Caenorhabditis elegans: one gene and its partner. The protein of the gene in region 1 interacts with the protein of each later gene in a pairwise test. Each region holds a gene or a part of one and is shown in the gene's direction. Other genes may lie near its edges.

Evidence for each region. Proteins that work in one complex are often made in the same cells at the same time.
Region 2: the proteins of rsa-2 (region 1) and ifb-2 interact in a two-hybrid assay, tested with the Caenorhabditis elegans proteins (one large-scale study listed by BioGRID).

The regions. Positions count from the first base shown.
Region 1 is NC_003281.10:11,061,601-11,069,269, forward strand, and holds rsa-2 (Regulator of spindle assembly protein 2), read left to right. Parts: upstream 1-1,878; 5' UTR 1,879-1,955; coding exon 1,956-2,074; intron 2,075-2,128; coding exon 2,129-2,178; intron 2,179-2,272; coding exon 2,273-2,521; intron 2,522-2,572; coding exon 2,573-2,952; intron 2,953-3,488; coding exon 3,489-3,691; intron 3,692-3,775; coding exon 3,776-4,004; intron 4,005-4,168; coding exon 4,169-5,227; intron 5,228-5,237; exon of another isoform or gene 5,238-5,325; intron 5,326-5,426; exon of another isoform or gene 5,427-5,498; intron 5,499-5,553; coding exon 5,554-6,021; intron 6,022-6,956; coding exon 6,957-7,052; 3' UTR 7,053-7,159; downstream 7,160-7,669. Other genes in the region: spat-2 (Protein lilliputian), read left to right, coding at 210-241; W09D6.1 (AMP-dependent synthetase/ligase domain-containing protein), read left to right, coding at 7,258-7,451, 7,498-7,600. UniProt on the Caenorhabditis elegans protein: Recruits rsa-1 and, thereby, phosphatase let-92/paa-1 complex to the centrosomes. Recruits sys-1/beta-catenin to mitotic centrosomes during the first embryonic cell divisions.
Region 2 is NC_003280.10:5,748,549-5,754,479, forward strand, and holds ifb-2 (Intermediate filament protein ifb-2), read left to right. Parts: upstream 1-1,651; coding exon 1,652-1,715; intron 1,716-2,693; coding exon 2,694-2,887; intron 2,888-3,173; coding exon 3,174-3,295; intron 3,296-3,340; coding exon 3,341-3,700; intron 3,701-3,753; coding exon 3,754-4,173; intron 4,174-4,268; coding exon 4,269-4,319; intron 4,320-4,407; coding exon 4,408-4,485; intron 4,486-4,534; coding exon 4,535-4,558; intron 4,559-4,906; coding exon 4,907-5,054; intron 5,055-5,107; coding exon 5,108-5,215; intron 5,216-5,265; coding exon 5,266-5,430; downstream 5,431-5,931. UniProt on the Caenorhabditis elegans protein: Cytoplasmic intermediate filaments provide mechanical strength to cells. Not essential protein.

The DNA.
Region 1 (7,669 bases):
GAAAAATTTCTCTTAAAAATGCCAAAAAACCTTTTTAAAATCTTCAAAAAGTCCAAAAAAAAATTGAAAATTTATCTTAAAAATGCCAAAAAAACCGAAAAATTATCTTCAAAAAGTCCAGAACCAGAAAAAATTGGAAATTTGTCCTAAAAATCCCAAAAACTTGAAAAATTCTCTTAAAACCCCAAAAATAATCCAATTTGTTTCAGAGCCCATCACATTCGTCCCAAAGAAGAAATAAACGTCTAATGAATCAATCGAGAATTCTATCGTTGATTTTGTTTTTTTGTTTGTTATTAATTATAATTCCTCTCTCCAATCATAATCATCATCACCGCTCAATCATTTTTATATATGAATTGAAATATTTTTAGTTCTTCCTTCACTTTTGCCTTTTTTTTTTGTCCCATTGCTTTCCCCTCATTCAAAAATATTCAAATTTGACCCCTTCCATCCAATTCTGAAAATCTTTCCCCCACACAACAACTCTCTCTCCAAAAAACAAAAAATCTCTCTTCTCCTTACGTAATTCTGGTATAATTTCCCTGTTATCATGTGTTCCTCTTCGAAATGTTGCGAGTTTTTTTTCTTCCATTTTTTTGCCCCCAAGAATTCCCCAATTTTGTGAAATATTCCCCCTTTTCCCCCGGAAATTTTTAATTTAAAATTTGGCGATTTTAATCGAATTTTCAGGCAAAATTTGTTAGAAAATTGAGATTTTTGCGGATTTTACATTTTTTTTTTTTAGTTCATTTTCAGCTGAAATTATCAAAAATTTCGAGTTTTTAGCCAAAATTCACAAATTTTCATACGATCATCCACTATTTTCTAAGAAATTCTGAAATTTGGTAGATTTTATTTTTGAGTTTTTAGCCATTTTTCAACCAAAATTTGGGAATAATCTGCAAAAATCTGAATTTTCAAACAATTCTAATAAAATTTCAAGCTAAAATTATTAAAATTTTCCAACTTTTTTTCCTGAAAATTTCAAAAAATGTGATTTTTTTTCAAAAATTTCCCAAAATTTCAACAAATTCATTTTCAAAATGTTGAAAATGAAATATATATATATCGGGTCCCCCGTTCTCTGTTTAAGTCACAATTTTCATATCTCTCCCGATTTTTAAATATCTTTGTGATGTCTCACACACATAAGCCCCGCCCCCGTTTTTAAGCACCGCCCATTTCATTGCCTTTCTCCGCCCCCCGTTTTCTACAATTTTTCCCCGTTAAATTATACTCCGCCCCTTTCCTGCACACATTTCGACTTCAATATTCATATTATTATTATTTTCAATCCCAATTTTTTCTTTACTTAAAATTTTCGTGTTGACTCCGCCCCACCGCCCCCAAATTGTCTGTTTGTTTAGAAAAAGCCCCCGTTTATATGATTTTCCGCTTTGGAATAATAAAAGTGGACGTTTCTTTGTCTGGAAATTACAGAAAATTTTGAAATCGGATAAAAATTGCAGACCGCGCACGGAAAAGTGGGCATGTCCTACCGGTTGCAAGCGTGACGCGCGCATTTTTCGGAACTGAAATTTTTGCGAAATGTAGGAATCTCGGTTTTCGAGCGAGTTTTTATCGAATTTGGGTAATTAATAATAATAATTGGTTTCAAAAATGGTAAAAATCATTTTTAGTTTGAAAAATCTGATTTTTGACTTGAAACTGTTTAGAAGCTGTATATTTAATAATTTATCAATTTTATACTGATTTTTAAGGGTTTTCAAGTTTTTTTTCCCACTTTTCCGCTATTTTTGACCCGAGAATCCTGTAAAATCTGCAATTAATCAACAAAGAAACAGCAAAGAAAACCCTGCGTCTCCTCGTCTCCCCACACTCTCTCGCCGTCTGCATTTTCGCGTGACGGTGTTTGCACACACTGGCGTCGCCGCGAAAATATTCTTTAATTCAAACGCGAAATCAATTTTTCGCACTATTTTCCCCGCGTAATGTCGAAAATTCCTGTATTTAAGGGCAGTTTCAAGTCGTGGCTCGCAAAAAACGACGAAAAACCCGCGAAAAGTGTGCTCCTCGAGCCGAAATATCGCGATCACCACGAAAAAATAAGGTAAGCAGGGGGAAATTCCCCATGGCAACCATTTATTTATTTTCTGAGTTTCAGAAACAAGGAAAACATGGAGGAAGGCGAGAAGCCGGTTTTTGTATCAATGGGTAGGTTTTCTTTGGGAAAAAATTGGGGAAAAATGAGGAAAAATGGTTTTTTTGAAATTTTTTTGTTAATTTAAAAAATTTTTTAAATTTCCAGCAAACCCCCAACCAACACGAGAAGACTACGAACGTTACGACGAAGATCGTCGGCTTAAAGATAAAGCTCGTGATCTACGAATCGCCCGCCGCCGCAACTCCGCAACCCCAGAAGCCTCCCCGTCCAGCGATCAATACTTCACACCGGAGCCCGCCGATGACGAATTTGTCACTCCATCCACGTCGAAAAAGTCACAAAAGCCACGTAGCAGTGATGCGACGCCGGTGTCTTCAAAACCGCCAAGATATTGTAATTTTTTGAATTTCTTTCAAAAAAAAACCTAATTTTCATAATTTTCAGTGCCAAGAACCCCGTTATCAGAGCAATACACGTCTTGTCTGAGCCGGAAAATGGAGGAAAACTTTTCAAGAATGCAGGAGCTCATGATCTCCGGCCACTCACCCCATGAAGCCCGTCAGCAGACGATTCAGGAGAGCTCGGAGCAGCTGGAGCCCAGAGCCAAAGTGACACGTAGCTCATCCCAACCGCCACCGATTGACACTTTGAAGCCGCGTGTGCCACGTATTGAGTCGCCTTTGGTGAAAAAAACCACGGAAACACCGATTCGTCGCACCTCATATGTTGATACCCTCGTCGCGACGCATCAAATTCAGCTACAGTATTCGGATCGAGTTGTTGTTGGTGTTGAACGTCAAATGACAAAGCTGGAGAGCATCAAGGTACAGGAATTGGAAAATTTCTCGAAAAAATCAGTAAAACCCGATTTTTCCTGGGGGTTTCCGCCGAAAAATTGGATTTTTTTCGCCAATTTTGAATTAAAAATCCATATTTTTCGCTCGAAATTGTCAAAAAATGAAAAAAACATCTGTATAAATTCACATTTCCCACCGATCGCATAATGCAAGTGCGCTCTGATGCGAATTTGACATTGGAGCGCAGTTGCAACATGCGATCGGCGGGAAATTTTAATTTTTCACTCAATTCCCAGATTTTTGAGCAGAAATCACGTTTTTCTGTCAATTTTGAGCTGAAACTTACTGTAAATGCGCTCCAATGATAAATTAGCACCAGAGCGCAGTTGCAGCATGTGATCGACAGAAAATTGAATTTTTACACCGAAAGACTTTAAAATTCTAAAAAAATAAAATAAAAACACACACTTACAATTAAAAATTAATATTTCCTACCAAAAATTTGCTGAAATTTGAATTTGCGCGTAAAATCGGATGTTTGATCTACATAACCGTCGCCAAAGTTCTTACAGAATCTCGCGGCCGCTAATAGATCACCAATAATTGCTGAAGAGGCAAAAAAACGACGAAATGAAGCAGAGGCTGTACGGAAACTCATAGAAGTGGAGACGCAGAACGCAAAAAAACGGGCGGTCATTCAGGAATTAAAGGATCGAATTGATAAGCTTACTCAAGCACAATTGGCTATACATCAACTCGTTTCAAGGTAGAAATTCCAAGAAAAAATTTGATTTTTTTGCTCTTTAGGCTCCGCGCCCATATCTTGGCTTCTTAAGGTTTTTGTTTACAGCCAACCATTCTCCGGCGATCCGTACAATCAGCGGCTTTTGCGCTCCATCGACAACTGGATGGCGTTGCCGTTTCGCGAATTCGACATTCAAACCGCCCGTGAAATGCTGGAATTGGCGCGAAAAATGAAGATCACAATCGACCATTTTCGAAATGTCGCCACGTTGCACAGAAACAGCAAAAGTCTCAATCGATCACTTAACACGAGTCGAAAGAGCATAGCTGTTAAGGTAAATTAAGCCGTTTTTTGGCAAATTTCTTTTAAAAATCCGCCTATTTTAAGAGAATTTCAAATCGCTTAAAATAGGCGGATGAAACCCCGCCCCTTTATTGGCTAATTTCATAAAAATAGGCGGATCTTTTCAAGAAATCTCAAAAAATCTGATTTTTGTAGATCAATCCATCATCACAACTGAACCAACAATCATCGTCGGACGCAGCCCCGCCCCCTTCAATGAGAGAAGCATCGACACAAATGACGTCACGGCTCGCCGAGTCTGCAATGACTCAGACGAGTCCCCGAAGAATTGGTGTTGAACCGTTGGATCTTTCACAATTGTTGGAGAAACACAACTCGTCCTCGCAGACTACACCGCCTGTGGTTGAACCGGTGCTGGCCGAAGTTTCCGCCGAACCTCAGCGGCCACCAGTGACACTTTCGATGACGGCGCCCGTGTCGACGATTGCCGAGTTTGATAGTATGCTCAATAGCATTTCACTGCACAATGAGAGCCTGGAGACTGTCGCCGAGCCATTTTCCCGTCTGAAGACTGATATAAGCTTCCCGTCCACTGTGGAAGAGACGACGCCACGTAGTGGCCGAGTTTCTCTGGATTCAGAATCGGCGCGGCGACTTTCTGCAGGACTTTCGCACTATTTGGAGCAAGTTAAGAAGGAGAGAGAATCGATGGAAGCTCAGGAATCTGAATCTGAATCCATGGAATTGGAGATTCCCGTGGTGTCTGAGGTATCAGTCACTACAGAATCAGAGAATCTGGAGGAAGTGGTTTCCGAGCATTCTGATTCCAAATCCCCGGAAACTCTAGTCGCTTCAGACAACGGAGAAGACTCATCCGGTGGATCGGAGGACCCGAATGCTACACAATTTGAGCATGAAATTGAGGAGCACAAAGAGCCCGAAAAACTGGGCCTAATCATAGATCCGGAGGACGAGCAAGACGAGACGAAACGCTTTGTGAATCACGATGAATTCGAACAGAGCCTGGAGGAAGAGCTGGAGCCACGTGGCAATAATGATAGCGCTGACGATTCGGGATTCTTGCTTGACAACTCGCCGGCACCGCGGCTTAAATCGATTTTTGACAATTTGCCGCCGGCGGCGGCGTCGGCAGCAGTGACAGATACACCAAGAGTGCCGGCGGAAGCCGATGAAACGACGTTTGCTGGAATGGATATGGAGGAATATTGTCAGCGAGAGTTCTTGAAAGAGATTGTAAGTGTGTAAAAAAGAATGGGCCGAACCGGGGATTGAACCCGGGACCTCTCGCACCCAAAGCGAGAATCATACCACTAGACCATTCGGCCGCGAAACTTTGCTTCCCAGGAGGCAAAGACATGATGCACCATGTGTCAATTTCTGCGGAATTTGTTCAACAGAAATGTCTACACACCCAAGAAGCTTGGGAAACCGTGGCCGAATGGTCTAGTGGTATGATTCTCGCTTTGGGTGCGAGAGGTCCCGGGTTCAATCCCCGGTTCGGCCCATTCTTTTTTGTTTTCTCTTATTACATCTAAATGTTTAATTTCGCACTTTTTCAGAGCCCAATAATGGTTCAAAAGGCAATTGAGCTTCAGGACGAGCTCCGCGGAGTCGACTGGCTTACAGCGCAAGATGTTTGGCAGCCACCCTCATTTAAAGATGTTCAAATGGAGTTCGACGACAATTTCGAGTATTTCGACTCGTTTTCCATACTTATTTGGAGTGCGGTGGTGGATTTAATCAATAAAAACTACCTGAAATTTGGCCGAAAAATGACTGAAAATGAGGAAATCGCGTTTGAAGCGGAGGCGTTGAAAATGCTCCAAACCGAGCACGGACCCGAATCGAGAAAATCGGAATGGTGCACCGATGTGAAAATGAGCAAGAAACTTGAAGGAATGATGCCAATGGAGTTGGATTATCGATATGATGTACGCCGAGGTCTACCGGACGCCGAAAAACAAAAATATCAATGGCAACAAGTGCAGATGACAGTTATCGCCGCACGTTATGCGAATAAGAATTTGGTACGGAACGTGAAAATGTGAAAAATCTCACAAAATCTCACAAAATCTATACAAAAATCGGAAAAAAAAGCGACGAAAATTCAAAATTTCGGTGAAAAATTTTGGCGGGAAAATTCAATTTTTTTAAAGAAAATATAGCTTTTTTGTTTCAAGGTGGAGTGCTCCCAGTGGGGAAATTGCTTTAAAGCATGCCTATGGTACCACAATGACGGAATATCATGATAAAAAATTCAAAAAAAATTTCTAGATTTTATATGATTTTTTGAAAATTGAAAAAATCTCCGTTTTTGCCTAATTCCTTTTTGAATTTCCGCCAATTGGATTCATTCGGTGGAGCGCACTTGCATTATTTTTATTAATTTATTTTATTTTTTTCTCATTATTTCACTGATTTTCTTCATTTTTGGTGTATTTTTATCGGAAAGATAAAGATAAATGCAAATTGTTTGTTTAAAAAATCACTGAAAACGGGTAAAGCTTTAAAACTATGAGTTCTGACGACAACAAGCCTGAAATTAGCATGTTTCACAGTTTTACGCATTTTCAGTGATTTTTTAATGAGCAATTTGCAATTATCTTGCATTTTTCTTTGTCTTTCCGATAAAAATACACAAAAAATGAAGAAAATCAGTGAATTAATGAGAAAAATAAAATAAATTAATAAAAATAATGCAAGTGTGCTCCACCGAACGAATCCAATTGGCGGAAATTTAAAAAGGAATTAGGGGAAAACTGAGATTTTTCCAATTTTCAAAAAGTCATATAAAATCTAGAAAATTTTTTCGAATTTTTTTATCATGATATTTGGTCATTGTGACCCCATGGGCATGTTCTAAAGCAATTTCCCCACTGGGTGCACTCCCTTTAAAAAAGTTGCCTAATTTTTTTTTAATCAAAAATCGATTTTTCGTTAGTTTCAACCATTTTTCTCTCAGATCAACGAAGCCAACGAGGTATATGCGACGGAAAAGGAGAAGCTGGGACAAATGGTGCTGGAATCTGAAATCGACGCGACGGTCACCGATGTTTAGGCTTTTAATTAAATACTTTTTTCGCCTATTTATCACTATTATCGGCAATATCATTCATGGTCTCTACTATTCTACTAGCTATTTTATGAACTATTTTATTTATTGATTTTTATTTTCACACACACTTTTAAGGCGAAAAAGCGCTGAACATATACTGGAAAAATCGATATGCCGAAAAATTCCCAAAAAAAAACATTCACAGAAAATGACGGAAATCAATCGGAATTTGAAAATTATCGATGTGGGTTGCAACGCGACAATTCCGGCGGAGGATATTTTCGAGAAAATCGATAATTTCACGGAAATTCTCAGGAATTCAAATTGCCGCGCGATCACCGGCTCCGACGTGGTTTTCATATCGATTGAAAGAGGTCTCGACGCGATTGTTGCCGTTATTGCGTAGGTGGCAATCCGCCCACTCAGCCAGAAAAAATCGATTTTTCAGATGCCTCCGACTTGAGCTTGTGTTCACATTTTGCCCGCCGGCGAGCGATACTGATGACGTGGTGCGGAAGTTTCGAACGACGCTGGTTTTCAACGGAAAACATGTTAGTGCTACGTGGTGAAAAAATCGATAATTTAACAAAAATCAATAAATCCTCAAAAAATTCAATAAT
Region 2 (5,931 bases), on another chromosome or scaffold:
TCCGCGTTTTATCGGTTAAAAACGATAAGGAAACTTGAGCTCTACTAGGAATTGGAGTACGCTGTTTTATCAGTTCCAACCAAGCCTGCCACACATCTGTAAACAAATGTTAGAGAATATGCGAAATGAAGAACACGATAAATGAAGTTTGAATGAAAGTACAAAGACTAGTCGTGAGGACTGAGCAAGATGTATGGAGTTGTAGAGAATACCAAAAGCAAAATTCTTTAAACATCCTGTTTTTTGGTATTCATACTTTGGCTAATTTTATAAAGTAATTGACCACAAAAATGAGAAAGAAGCATAAACGGAAGAATTGTATTAAAAAAACAAAACACTGTATTTCCAAAAATTTCAAAATTCCAATTCATGCTGATTAGCAGCTCGCGGACTTTAATATTTGAAAAAGAAGAGGTGTGGTTGATTTTTAGTTTTTTAAAGGTTAAATAATTAAAGCGATGTTTCGAATTATTTTGGAATTCCAATCATAGTTTCAATTCGATGCTTTTTCAATTTCGAAAATGCACAATTTTTAAGAACTTTTTAGCAAGGGTTTTATGACTCACAAAACTCTTTAATCAGAATAAAATGTTAACCAGAACACTTGAAAAGTTACGCTCCGCCGGTAGGTAGGTCTTCCTACCTACCTAGTTATATTCGTCTGCAATTTGGCACAAAATCTAGAGGTACAAGACAGCGCGTAGGTAACCTTCGAGTTTTTTGTGCCTACAAGGGAATTCGTTCACTGTTGCAAGATTCACCTATTTTGTTGTTATCAAATTATTGCGATGAACTTTTAAGGAATTACTGTAGCTGTTTTTTTGTGAAAAATAACACAGATGGTCTTTTTAAGATAAGACACCTCAAGTTCAGTAGACAACAAGAGTAAACAAAGTTTTTTCAGGAAATACTTGTAGCTTTTGAATTACAGTTTAAGAGAGAATTGAATTGATGAAGAGATTTTGATTGAACCTTCACATCTTCAAAATTCTAGAATTTTTAAAATTAAACATTTTTGAATATGACAATACAAGCGAAAATATTCTGTCAATTAAATCCAGATAAATTTGTAAATCCTTAAAAATTAAATTGAAAGGAATCTAGAAGACAAAATGTTTCAGTTCTGAAATATTCCATTGTTGCCGATTATGTTCTGTTGTAACCTTATTAACATTTCATTCGTCATAGTTTCTAGTAAAAAGTTTCAGACTTTGCGGTTCTTAACACCTTTTTTCAAATGTCAACTTCCTCATCATTCCCAGTCAAATGTCATTTTGTTTCATAAATACAAAGAATGTAAGAAAGAGTAGTTTCTTTTTTTCTTCTTTTCACCCCCTCCCCTCCGTTTTCCATCTCTAAACTCGGACTGATAAGTCACCATAAAAGAGAGTGGAATCGAGCATTGCCAACTGATAACCCTCTTTCTTTGCTCTCTCAAAATGCCATTGTAAAATCAAACCTACTACTCCGCGTTTTGTACGGTTTGGTGTTAAGACTCTTTATTTTTTTGAAGATTGAACGTTTATTATTGGTGTTGGTTTTTTAACTGCTGAAAGTGTGAAAATAACATTGTTTTCTTATTCTATTTATTTTTATCTTCTTTTGTTATTAACATCTTTTGTTTTATTTTCAAAATTTTAGCGACTTCATCATGTCGGCGGTTAGTTATTCGATGCACAGAACCACCACAACTACATCCTCCTCATCACACGGAGGTAAGCACTTTTCTTCAAATTTCCAACAGTCACACGACCTCGAGAGTTTTCTCCGAGGAATCCATAATATGGTGACACTAGTTTGTCTGAAATTGATCTCCTCCATTGTCTCAATCTTTTTCTTTGTTTCAAATCTCTTTGTCGGCTTTATTGACACCGTTGTGAACTCCTTTCACACATTGCCGACTAATCCTAGCAGTTTCTCTAGATTATGGGCTTAAGTTAAAATAACTGATGTTTAAATAAAACCATAAGTTTCGACAAATTAAACTCGATCTTAACTTTTAATTCACGATATCAATAAAGAATTGAGACGAGAACTGCAGCGTAGGGACAAACTGCAAAATGGCCTGTTCCTAGATGGTAGCATATAATACTTTTCAGTGAAAAATCAGATTGTTTATGACAAGATAGATCACTCTTATAAGTAGGAATTTTCTGATTGCTAGCCCAAATTGTGAAAAAAAAAGAATAAATATGCCACATTTAACCAATTTACTCTGCTCCTGCTTTGCATTACTTTGACAAATCATATCTCGATTGTTATTATTTCATCAAATAATTTTCAACACTAAAATCACTCTACATTGTTATAATTAAACAATTTTGATGAAGCCTACAACAATTAATATGAGCTGTCAAAATGAAGCAGTGGGAGTGCAAGACTAATAGGAAAAACGGTATATAACACGGAAAATTGTATATCTTAAATCTCAAAGTACAACATTAGCTGTAACTAACTCTATTTTTTAAAATTTCTATTTTAATATTGTGAAAAAATTTGGAAAACAGAGGTTTATTCAGACTTTTGTTTTACATATTCGTACTAAATTAATTTTTAAAAAATGAGTTTGTATTGCTTTTTCCAAACCCTTCACAATAAGACACTTTCACAAAATTTAGTTTATAACAATAAAAAATATGGTCCTTCTTGGAGCACTGCTTAAACATCGGAACACAGTTTACATAATATTTCAGGTGTCTCAGCCGGCCATGCCGCTGAGGAGTTCGTTGCCTCTGCCGAGCGCGAGAAGCAAGAGATGCAGCAGTTGAACTCTCGCCTTGAAGTTTACATCAGCCGTGTCCGTCAACTTGAGGATCGTAACAAGGAGCTTGTGATTGAATTGGACACCCTCCGAGGATCACTTGGAAATGACATCGGACAGATCAAGGTTTGTGCCCCGAAATTACAGGAGAATCTGAAACACTTTTAGTTGTTGACACAATTTCTCTCTTATCAGATAATATCAATTCTTCTCAAACAAAGCGCCCGTTGCCAAATGTGCAGGCGTAAGGAATTTAAAAGAGAAACTGAAAATGGCACTGATAAGATGACAAGTAGTGCTCTGGAGGAAATGGGTGTGTATGTGTGTGTTAAGATTGCCAATAAAATTAATTGAAATTGATCTTGAGGGGTTAATAATGTTGCATCAGAATAATAAACTCAACGTTTTGTAGTTCAAATTCAACGATTCGTTGGTCAAAGTTCGCCGTGAGATCTCAGAAGCTCATTCTGGAACTATTGGAGTTGAAGTTAAGGTCGACAGATTGAGAGATGATTTGAATGACTACAGACACAGGTAACAATTTATTTGCATATTCCATTCTAATGGCAAATATTTCAGATATGAAGAGGCCCGTCGTGAAGTTGAGCGTGAGAAGACCACTTGGGGAGGAGCTATTTCACAAGCACAAGCTGAGCTTGACACAAACAAGTCCCGCTATGCCGCCATTTTGGACGAGGAAAAGAGACTTTATGCTGAACAAGATCAACTCTATCTTCAATTGGCTGCCGCCAAGGATGAGCTTGACGCCGCAATTGTTGATCGCCGCCGCCTTCAAGCTGAGGAAGATGACCTCAAGATTGAGCTGGAATTCTTGGGAAGAATCCACTCTCAAGAAATCACTGAGCTTCGCACTCTTCTTGCTCAAGCTCCAGCCGACACAAGAGAGTTCTTCAAGAATGAATTGGCTCTTGCTATCAGGTTGGATTCAAAAAAAATGATATAGTTTTATTGTCTAATTTAAATTATTTCAGAGAAATCAAGGCTGAATACGACAAGATCATCCAAACCACCAGAGTTGATCTTGAGACAATCTTCCAGAGCAAGATTAGCGCCGTCGAATCATCAATCGTCTCCAAGAACGAGGCTGCCGTTTTCCGTCAAGAGGAGATCAGAAAGATGAACGAGAGCATCACCACATTGCGAGCCAAGCTCAGCGAGCTCGAAGCCCGTAACTCTGCTTTGGAGAGAGAAGCCAACACACTCCAGATTCAACTCGGAGAAGATCAAAGAGCTTACGAATCAGAGCTTCACAAGAGAGACAATGCCCTCCGATTTATGCGTGAAGACTGCCAGACTTTGATTGCTGAACTTCAAGCTCTTCTTAACACCAAACAAACTTTGGATACTGAGATTGCCATCTACAGAAAGCTTGTCGAGTCCGAGGAAGGAAGGTAATATAAGTAACAAAAATATCTCTCAAAAAGAGCAACATATACTTTAATTGATTGTCTCATTCTTCCATTTTATCATTTCCTTACTTTCACAGATTCACTCATGTTGGACAGGGGGTCGTTGTCGCCCAGCAGGAGACTACAAGGTTCGGTAGCTATAACCGCTTCATAGACATTAACATACTGCACACGTAGATATTTAGAATCTAGTTTTATTTCCTAGTTGACTTCCAGAACAGAAGGGGATTCCACTCCCGTTGTTTTAAATGATCAGCAATACTCTGACAGTCATCAATATCAGCAATATCCTGAGTAGGAATCTTTAATAGAATCAAGATATATTATATGTAATACCTTTCAGAGTGTATCCGCAAGGAACTTTAAGGTATCCTAGATTGTAGATTAGTTATTCATAGTATAGTTTTCATAGATCATCTCAACATCAAATTGGCAGAGGTACCAATGTACTAGTTTCAGATCAAAGGTTACTCGTAGTGATACAGTAGTTTATAGCTAATTGCTTTCACAATTCATGCTCTTTCACTTGCACTTTTTCTCTTTTTCACGCACTTCCTTATCTCAACACACTGCTTACTTTTCACATCACCTATTTATCATTTTCTTGGCTAACAATTTTTGTTAGTCAGCAAATCTCAAGGCTTTTAGCTGAAAACATGCACTTTCAGCTTAATCTATCCCCGTTAATTTTAAATTGTTATATTAAATTCTACAGATTGGTACCAGTCGAGCAAGATCACTGGGACTCTGGAGAGGTTCAAACTCGTTCCTCATTCAAGAGACACGCTAAGGGAAATGTGAGCATCGTTGAGTGCGATCCACAAGGAAAGTACATCATTCTTGAAAACACCAGTGGATCAGTTGTGAGTTTAGATCTTTATTTTTATTTTGAACATGAAAAATTGGAAAATTGCAGGCCGAAGATGTAAGCAACTTTGAAATCCGTCGTGTTATTGATGGAGTTCAAGCCTTCGTTTTCCGTCTCCCATCTCACTTAGTTATTCAACAACACGGACATCTTAAGGTATTAATTATTATAAAATTAGATATCATATTGAAACCGGAATATTACAGATCTACGGACGCAATTCAGGAGGAATTAACTCACCACCAGACTCAATTGTGATGGAATCTCACCCATCATGGGGACAAGGAGGACAAGTTGAAACATTCTTGTACAATAGTCACGGAATTGAGAAGGCTTCGCACATCCAGACGACGGTCGCTTCTTCCCGTTAAGAAATCTCCATCATCTAATCGATTTCTTTTTCGATGAATTTAAATTTATTCTGAAATGCCCATTGAATCCTTTCCTTGCTGTCTTCACTCCCAAAATCATTCGACGTACATACTTGCTACATTCCAATCCAATTGTTTTTTGAAATAAATTGTTCAATATTGTTTTAGTTCAAAATCATTGATGATTAAAAGAAGTGTACTTATCACGATACTTCCCAAAAAAAATTTCTTGGTCAAAAGTGGGTCACGATAACTCGGTCTAAAACCATTTCTAAAAAAAATTTTTTTCGCTTTTTTTTTCGACAATTGTTTTAAGCCATTTAGTTATGGTTTTCGAAGGTTTTTTATAATAGTAATAATAATTAAAATTAGGAGTGGTTTTGAACCGAGTTGTCGTGACTCGCTCTTGACTGAGACTACATTAAAATACATTCTACAGAATTTTTGGAAATGATTGAACACGTTGCAAGCTGTACATATATTTTTCAGCACTAAGGGAAA